Oryctolagus cuniculus: one gene and its partner. The protein of the gene in region 2 interacts with the protein of the main gene of each other region in a pairwise test. Links are inferred from orthologs where the notes say so. Each region holds a gene or a part of one and is shown on either strand. Other genes may lie near its edges.

What was found.
Region 1: the proteins of COPS5 (region 2) and MAP2K2 interact in a two-hybrid assay, tested with the Homo sapiens proteins (2 studies listed by BioGRID and IntAct). The link is inferred for Oryctolagus cuniculus from reciprocal best matches to the Homo sapiens genes COPS5 and MAP2K2.

Annotation. Positions count from the first base shown.
Region 1 is NC_091447.1:59,242,805-59,248,047, reverse strand, and holds part of MAP2K2 (dual specificity mitogen-activated protein kinase kinase 2), read right to left. Parts: intron 3,840-5,243; coding exon 3,629-3,839; intron 1,387-3,628; coding exon 1,240-1,386; intron 1-1,239. UniProt on the Homo sapiens protein: Catalyzes the concomitant phosphorylation of a threonine and a tyrosine residue in a Thr-Glu-Tyr sequence located in MAP kinases. Activates the ERK1 and ERK2 MAP kinases.
Region 2 is NC_091437.1:92,671,380-92,675,328, forward strand, and holds part of COPS5 (COP9 signalosome complex subunit 5), read right to left. Parts: intron 1,292-3,949; coding exon 1,143-1,291; intron 1-1,142. UniProt on the Homo sapiens protein: Probable protease subunit of the COP9 signalosome complex (CSN), a complex involved in various cellular and developmental processes.

The DNA of each region.
Region 1 (5,243 bases), on a different chromosome or scaffold from region 2:
GACCTTGTGGGGCAGCTGGGACCAGCGCGATGCCCCCTCCCGGTGAGGGCGGGATCTTGCTCAAATCCACTTCCTGCCCGCGTTACGACACCCGTGTCCCGGGGGACGGCGCGCTCGCGAGACGCTCCCGCAGCCGCCGCGCCCGGGTTTTGCAAGGGGCCTGCAGCCCCCACCTGACGCCCGGCGCTCACGGGGCCCGGGCGCTTCCTCTGGGCCCGCAGCCCTGACCACTTCTGCTTTCGCTGGTCTCAGCGTGGGGTGGGGGGTGGGGGTCACAGAGAGGCGCGGCCCGGGCCCCGCCCTGCGCGGAACCCCGCAGGTCTGGGCCGGGGGCGGGCAGGAGGCCTGCCTTTTACAAAGCCCCACGTCCCCTGTGAGCGCTGGCTGGGGTCCTGGCTGCCCCGCCTCGGACCCAGCTCCCTGCTAAGGCCCCTGGGAAGGCGGCCCAACCCTGCCACCCACGCGGGAGACCCGACGGAGCCCCTGGCCGTGCCCGGCCATTGTGGCCGTCCGAGGGGTGAACCAGAGGGAGGTTCTGTCTCTCTCCCTCTCTGTCATGTGCCCTTCAAACCAGTGAGTCTTAACCGTAAAAAGCCCCCCCTTTAGAGGCCCGCAGGCCAACAGCAACCAGGTCCCGTGGGACCTGACCCCGAGGGGGCGCGCGGCAGGACCAGGCGCTGCCGCGAATGGGCGCAAAGGCCGTGCAGCCCACCACGCAGAGACGGGGCCCCGGCTGCTGATGGCGAGCAGAGTGGGCGCGGGCACCTGGCAGAGCGCCCGACCCCCCGGGACGCCCGCACCCCTCCCTGGGCCTCGGTTCAAACTCTGGCTGCGTGCGTCTGCCCCAGCCCCCGCGCATGCGCCCTGGGAGGCAGCGTGGGGGCGCACGTGGGGCTCCTGGCTCCAGCCTGGCCCAGCCCTGGCCGTGGTGGGTGGCCATCGGGGAGGGCCCCAGCTGCGTCCTGTGCCCTGTAGCTCCGCCTCCTCGGGGAGGGCCCCAGCTGCGTCCTGTCCCCTGTAGCTCCGCCTCCTCGGGGAGGGCCCCAGCTGCGTCCTGTGCCCTGTAGCTCCGCCTCCTCGGGGAGGGCCCCAGCTGCGTCCTGTCCCCTGTAGCTCCGCCTCCTCGGGGAGGGCCCCAGCTGCGTCCTGTGCCCTGTAGCTCCGCCTCCTCGGGGCGGGCCCCAGCTGCGTCCTGCGCCCTGTAGCTCCGCCTCCGCGCGGCCCCGGCCCCGCCCTCACCATGTGCTGCATGCAGATGCTGATCTCGCCGTCGCTGTAGAAGGCGCCGTAGAAGCCCACGATGTACGGGGAGTTGCACTGGTGCAGCACCTGCAGCTCGCGGATGATCTGGTTCCGGATGGCCGGCTTGATCTCCAGGTGGATCAGCTGTGGGCGACAGGGCGGCGCCCAGCACGGCTGTCTCAGGACAGAGCCCCGCGGTCACGGCCAAGTGCACGCCCGCAGGCCAAGCCCAGGGGGCGCCAGGAGCCCGCGGCCGAGCTGGGGCTGGGGTGGCCACAGGGACCCGATGTGACCCAGAACGCCCCATGGGGACCGGCAGCCGCTGGGAGAGAGGCAGGCCCTGCCCGGTGGAGACAAGGTGGGGGGAGGGGAGGACGGCCGGGGGAAGGGACAGAGAGCCACGGGTGCCGGCAGTGAGGGGTGACGCCGGGGCTGCAGCGGGGTGGGCGTTTCGGGGGACGCCAAGGTGGGGCGGAGGGCGGCGGCCGGGCCCGGGACAGCAAGGGGCTGGCAGCGCCCGACAGGACCCCGGGCGGCACCCCCACGCCCCCTGACACAGGCGCGGCCTCCGGTTCTTGCTTCTCACGCACCCCCCACGGCTCCCACCACCGCCCATGCGCGGGGGAGCCGAGTCGGGCACGGGCCGGGGTTGCCACGGCTGGGCGGGTGACTGTGTGTGCGTGAGGCGCGCGCTGGGCAGACCCGGGAGCCGGAGCCGGCCCGGGGGGCAGGGCTGCCCGGTATGCGTGAGCACACAGGTCCGGGCCAGCGGCGCCGCCCCAGGCCCAGCTCTGGCAAGGCGGCCGTGGCTGCGGTCACGTGACTGCGGCAGGGGGCACAGAGGCCAGGCCAGGGTTTCTCTGCCACGAGGGAGGGAAACACACGTGGGCGCAGACGGCGCTGGCAGCGGGCGCGCCCTGACCCCTGCTTCCTGCGCGTGCGTAGACCCTGCCAGGGAGGGGCCGCGGAGGGGCGGGGGCCCCTGCACCTGCGTGGGAGACCCGGATGGAGCCCCCGGCCGCCGCAGGGATCCGGGAGGGACCCAGGGGTCGGAGCCAACACGCGCTCTGCCTCTCAGATAAACACATTAATTCATTAAAACCCAGAGGTCAGTCTTCTCGGGCCTTCTACAAGGCCCGTCGTGCTGCACGCGCATGGGATAACCTGCGTGACGCCAGCACGCGGTGGGCGCCCAGCTGCCGGTCTGTGCAGGTCTGGTAAGGTGCCCCGGGGGCCGACAAGTCCCGGCACGGACTTGGCACGGGCACCCGTCGGATGCAGCCCCCTGCCAAGGCGCCTGGGAAAGCAGCAGAGGACACCGAGCGCCCGGCCCCCGCACACGCGTGGACGCAGCCGGGTGAGGCTCCCGGCTTCGGCCGGGCCCAGCCTGGCAGTCGGGGCCGTTTGAGGAGCGAGCCAGTGGATCCTCGGTTCAAATCAATCCATCCATCACAGACGCGAAAAGAGGGGGCCCCTGCGCCCCCCATCCCTCACCCTCAAAGGCGACACCTTACACGGTGGAGGAGCCAGAGGCCACGGAGGCCACACGGAGCTCGCCTGGCCACGCAGCCCTACGCGGAGCCCCTGGGCCCCGCCTCCCGGAGCCCCGTTCCCGCGGCGCTGGCCCCAGACGCCTCGGTGCCCACCGCTCTCCGACCAGCGCCGTCCTAGGGGGTCCCACAGGTGCCCTGGGTGGGGGTTCGGGGGCAGGGTGGAGGAGGGTCCTGGCTGTCCTGCTGTGGGAGCAGGTGGCAAGCTGCAGACCCCAGGAGGATCCAGGCCTCCCATCCCCGGGAAACACAGCCGGAGGCCGGGACCTCACCCAGCCGCAGGGCGGTGGGCTTCCTGGAAGAGCGAGCCGTGTGTGGTGGGAGGAAGACGCCTGAGAGGCGCACAGTCTGACCACAGAGTCCCCACCACGAGCTTAGTCATGGCCCCCAGCCGGTCCCTGCTCCCGTCTCCCCCCACCCCGGGGAGTGGGGGGATATTCCCCCACCTGGCTGCCCGGAGCCTCGGGAGCTGGGGCCGGGGTGGCTGTCCGGGTTGGGGGAGGCAGGCTCCCCAGCCTGGGGGCTGTCGGTGACCCCCGGGCCAGGCTGGAGCTGTGACGGACACTTAACCCACAAGACACCGGCGACGCAGCCGGCCTTCCGGGGCTGGGCGGGCCTCTCCCGACGGGTGAAGGTGTTCGGGGAAAGACGGCGGTGCCCCCCGAAATGTGTGGGGTCGCGAGCTGCGCCCTCCTGGCCTGGCCTGCACACCCAGAAGGCGGGCCCCAAGCTTCCTCCCCTCTTCTGGTGCAGGCGCACACTCCAGGGAGCCCTGGGGGGGGGGGACTCACCTCCCAGATACTCGCCGTGCCCTCCCACGCCCCAGCGCCGCTCACCTTCCTGGCCATGATGAGGCCCGAGGGCCGGTGCCGCACCTTGGTCACCACGCCGCCGTTGCCGGCCCCCAGCTCCGAGATCCTCTCGAAGTCATCGTCCTTGAGCTCGCCGACCTTGGCCTTCTGCGTGAGGAAGGCCTCCAGCCGCCGCCGCTGCTGCTCGTCCAGCTCCAGCTCCGCCAGCTTCTGCTGCAGGTCCACGAGGCTCGCTCTGCGGACAGCCGGGGGCCAGGTCAGTGGGGCCGCCGCGCAGGACGCCGGGCGCGCAGCCAAGTGCCGGGGCGCAGGGCCTGGCTCCGGTGCCTGCGCGCGCACCCCGGGAGGCAGCGGGTGGCCCTGTCCCTGCGTGCGCGCACCCCGGGAGGCAGCGGGTGGCTCCGGTCCCTGCACGCGCACCCCGGGAGGTAGCGGGTGGCTCTGTCCCTGCGTGCGCGCCCCGGGAGGCAGCGGGTGGCTCTGTCCCTGCGTGCGCGCACCCCGGGAGGCAGCGGGTGGCCCTGTCCCTGCGCGCGCACCCGGGAGGCAGCGGGTGGCTCCGGTCCCTGCGTGCGCGCACCCCGGGAGGCAGCGGGTGGCTCCGGTCCCTGCGTGCGCGCACCCCGGGAGGCAGCGGGTGGCCCCGGTCCCTGCGCGCGCACCCCGGGAGGCAGCAGGTGGCCCCGGTCCCTGCGCGCGCACCTGGGAGGCAGCGGGTGGCTCTGTCCCTGCGTGCGCGCACCCCGGGAGGCAGCGGGTGGCCCTGTCCCTGCGCGCGCACCGCAGGAGGCAGTGGGTGGCCCCGGTCCCTGCGTGCGCGAACCCGGGAGGCAGTGGGTGGCTCCGGTCCCTGCGCGCGCACCCCGGGAAGCAGCGGGTGGCCCCGGTCCCTGCCGCCCACGCGGGAGCCCCGGATGGAGTCCCTGGCTCCTGGCTGGTGCAGTGAGCCAGCGGGTGGGGTATGTGTCTGTGTTGCTTGCTGTCTACCTCTCAAACACAAGTGCGCGCGTCACACACCGACTCCACCCCAGCCAGGACGGGCACGCGGCCGGCCAGGGAGCGGGGAGGGATGACGCAGACGGTCCCCTGGCCTAGTGACCTAGCGAGGAAAGGCGCATGCGTGCCCTTGCGCACCCCAGAACCCAACGCCTCTCCCTGGGCGCAGGTGGGGGGGGCACTAGGAGAGCCCTGGGGGACTCCAGACGGCGTGGGTGGATGGGGGAAATGGGGACCGGGCCCAGGAGCAGGGCCCGTGGAGCCTGGGCAGATCCAGGCCTCCGACGCGGGCGTGGACGCCCCGAGGGCCCGGTCCTGCGCCAGGCGGACCCTTAACCCGCGCGCCTGGCCTCCCAGACCCGGCAACCTCGCAGCCAGCCGTGGCCACTGTGGGTTAGGGGTCACTCAGGGGGTTGTCAGGGAGTCCGGGACGCGGTCCTCAGGGAATTTGCCTTTGAACCTGGCCCTGGGGCAGGAAGCAGGACGCTGCAGCCGAGGGCACCCCAGGGCCGGCCCGGGGGCTCCCGGGGAGAACGGCCGCAAGCCCCCACGCCGTCTCCTGGGGCCCACTCTTGAAAAAAGGAAAACAGGCAAAGGTAATTTTAAAAATTTTATTTGTTCATTTGAAAGGCAGAGAAAGACA
Region 2 (3,949 bases):
GGCAGAAACAATGATAAAACTCCACCAATATTCAGAAGGGAAGCAATTCTTATAAAGCCATCTCCAAAAGGAAAATTCTCTACTTTTGCATCATTACTTTTATCTTTTCTACTTTTCTCTTATTATAATTGAAGACATTCTCATAATGAAATGTTTGCTTGATTAGAGGTTGAAATGTAAATGCAGATAAAACTGCAAATTACAGACATAAAGACAACTGAGCAAAAACACACACTACACTAAAGCAAATACTAAAAATAAGGCCAAATGCCAAAGAAAAGTATAATCTTTATCCAGGTCACTAGCTCTACTTTCTAAAAACCCATGAAGAAGGTGAGACAGAATTTAATTCAAGATGACTTCCACAACCAGGATACTCTTTACCTTCTCCTTGCTTTTTCCTTTGGACCAATATAGTTTGTCTTAAAATAGACATGAGTTTATATAGATGTTCTCCCTTCCTTTCTATCCTTATCACATTTAAACTCAAATTCAGTGTGAGAGTAACTGTTATTTAGATAGTCTTCTCACCTCTGTACAGTCTATGTATCTGAGGGCCACACAGTTACTTCATAAGCCAGCAGAAAACATCCTAAGTTTGTTTTCTACAAATTCCTTACTAAAATCTAGAGTACCAAATTACAGTATAAAGGACAATTTCAGAAGCATAATTTAAGAGAGATACATTCACTCCTATGATATCTTGGGATTTAAGACTTTATGAAAAAAACCCTGAAATTTGTTAAGTTTCAACATCTCTTAATTTAATTCTACAGATGCTTATATGACAATAAACCAAGAGATTCTTTTGGCAAAGGCTTGCTTTTATTTATTTTTTTTTAATTTGAAGACCTAAAGGAAGATTAGTTTCTTTCTTTGACTTTGTAGCTGAACTAGAAGAGATGACTGGGAGTATTCCATGTCACTGCCTACATCTTTGATTTAAGCCTTTAATGTTCTGACCTAATGACTCCTAAATTTTCAGAGTTAAAATCTGCATTTGACAACTTTTAAAGGTCCCAAGAAGTTTAATGTTCAGATATTATTCTGACTAATTTGAACTGTAAGGAATTTGGTTCCTACTATTATTTGAGAATTGAAAGTAAAAAGAATCTTTTTCTTATTCTTATTCTTATTCTTACCTGTCTCTTGTGGCTTTGGCAAGTTTGTCCTCTGATTTTCGGTCATGTGTTTCTAAACCCAACATGAAACTTCCTCGTCCCAGCTGGGCTTCTGACTGCTCTAACTTTTCAGACAAATCAAAGACCTGACCAGTGGTATAGTCTGCATTCTGTGGAGAAGATGATATTGTATTAGTACACAAGTCTACCATTAAAAACATAAAAAAAATATACATACACACATATATATTTTAATGTAAATTAATTTTCTTCTATAAAGAACATTTCATTTACAAAGAATCCTCCTATAAGATCTGAGTGGATGATTATTGAAGTAAGAAGTCAAATTACACGTGCAAAATCTTGCAACTTTTTCAACTTGTCAAGTGGTTCAATGTAGATGTGTTCTCTTTTTAATTTCAAGATTAAATTTGGAATTTTTCTCTTCGACTCTAGGTCTAATGGTGATTATTATTACAAGAGGCCTTGGCCTACACATATCAAGTCCAGCTCCTAACCTGCTGCAGATTAGTTGGGAGGCTTGGGACATGCCTGCAGGTCCTCTTCAGAAAATGGGAAAAGGGAGCAATTTCTATGTTAAGGCTATTGTGAAAAATTAATGAAATAATGTGTGAAAGCTCTTAGGCTGGTCCATGGCACCCACTAAATGCTTAATAATTGTTAGCTAGTTTTGTTACTATTCTTTTATAATTTGTACTTAGGATAATATTTTTAAAAATAACCTTTGGTTTTGCTTAATAAATTATTACAGAAAATAATTTAATAAATTACAGAAAATTTGGAAAATGTAGAACAATATAAAGAAAATAGACATAGCTATAAGCCCTTCACCTCACTCATATGCATTCTATATCTGGGAAACTAGAATATTATATATTGTATTTTTATAATATGACATACTTTTTAAAAAGAAAAAAGTTATATGTCTACATTACTGTAATATCTTTAAAGAGATTGTTATAAGATATCCATTTTTAGTTTTAGTCTAAAATATAAAGAAAACCTACAAAGTTGTAAAGCATATATTACATTTCTTTTCTTAATCTTTTGTAGAAGAGAATGAGGATAAATAAGCCATTTGGCGAAAATCAGCATGCTATTTTAGTTGCTCAGTTTGAAAGACAGCTTACAAGAAATACAGTTTAACTATCAAACACAAAATGTTATAGCTATCATCAAAGTTACCACAGAAGGCCCTTTAAAATGCTACCAGATCTCCTAATGATTGTTCAAAGTTAGGGTGATTTTAAAATGATGCAATTATATTTACTTTGCCTAAATGAATCTAAATGGTTTAGGAAATCAACATTTATCCCACAGACTTGGAGAAAAGCCTAAGGTTTACAGACTTTTCCACATTCAGAAGATTAGCTACAGAGCCCATAAAAATGTAAGCTAGCAGAAATGGTTATACTAGTAAACTGACAGTAAAATATACCCAATCACATTTCAAATGCCCAGAAAATTAATACAGGAAACTAATTTCTTAAAAAAATTTTTCTCTGGTAGCTTTTAGGTTTTATGCTATAATTAACTGCTTTAGTTGGAGAAAGAGAAAGTGAACATAATTTACATGTTTTCTTAAAATGCAGCAGTGTCCTATATGAGTATATAAAATCACAGAAAGGGAGAAAATGTAATTTAACCTTTTCTTGATTATTAATGTCCTCATATATGCAGTGCTGGAATACAGGGACAGCCGTGTGGCTGAGTAGGTAGATCTGCTTGCCTTTATACAAAGGTTCAGACTGCTCTGGTCTTACACAGTGTTTTCTCCCCTTGCATCAGCTCTCACTTCTGGTTGCTATTAGTATACTTGCCTCTACGGAAACAACACATATAAAGCATTTAGCAGTGTCTGGCACACAGGAGGCACTTAATAAATGTTTGCTATTATGTTTGCTTTCCTTCCTTCTAATCTGATACTTCTGACCACCGAGGATTAAGAAATAAGAACAGAAAACTTGTCAGAATTGTGTTTAAAATTATAAAAAACAGGCTCAATTGAGGTTTTCTTTCAAGAATGCAATGCACCAAACAAAAATAATAATAGTCATTTATTGAGGCTTATTATATGCCAGGCACTTTGCTAATTGCTTTATATCAAGTATTTCATTTAATTTTCTCAGTATACTTAATGATGTTATTATTTTATATACAGAAAAGGCTCACTCACATTAAATAAGTTTCCAAACATCACTCAGAGCCAGTAAAGTGGCAGCATTCTTTTCAAATCTGATTTATTTCAAATCCCATGGTACTAATCACTATGTATACTGCAGTATATGGAGTGGCCTACTTTTAAAAAAGCTGTTCCTAAGTTCTAAATATGGAGAATGTTGTTAAGTAAATATCCTTACATTTAATAATTAATATAATAATTGAATGTTAAATAAATATCTTACATTTAATCATTTACCAGAACATATTCAGTGAATATCCTTTTTCTTTGGCTGTGCAGAATCTGTTGCTTTAAGATAATGACCATCTGATTATCCTCTGAGACCTCTGCTCCCCCCTTATTAGTCCCTGTACTCCTGAAGGAGCTGCTTCCCCCCAGCCCAGCAGCAAAGCATTTGTTCTGACCCAGTCACTCAATAAACTCATTCCCTTGGGCCAACAGCAGGTCTAAGAATGGCCACCCAGTGAGATACCATAAGGTTTGCCTAGAAATATGCTGGGATATGTACATGCTTCAGTGTGTGTATTTGTGTGTGTTGATTTTCTTTCAAAGCTGAAACTAAGGTCTGAAGTTAAAGCTGCCTTTTTATGTTTATTTTATAAACATGCTTTTATGTTAAGACTGA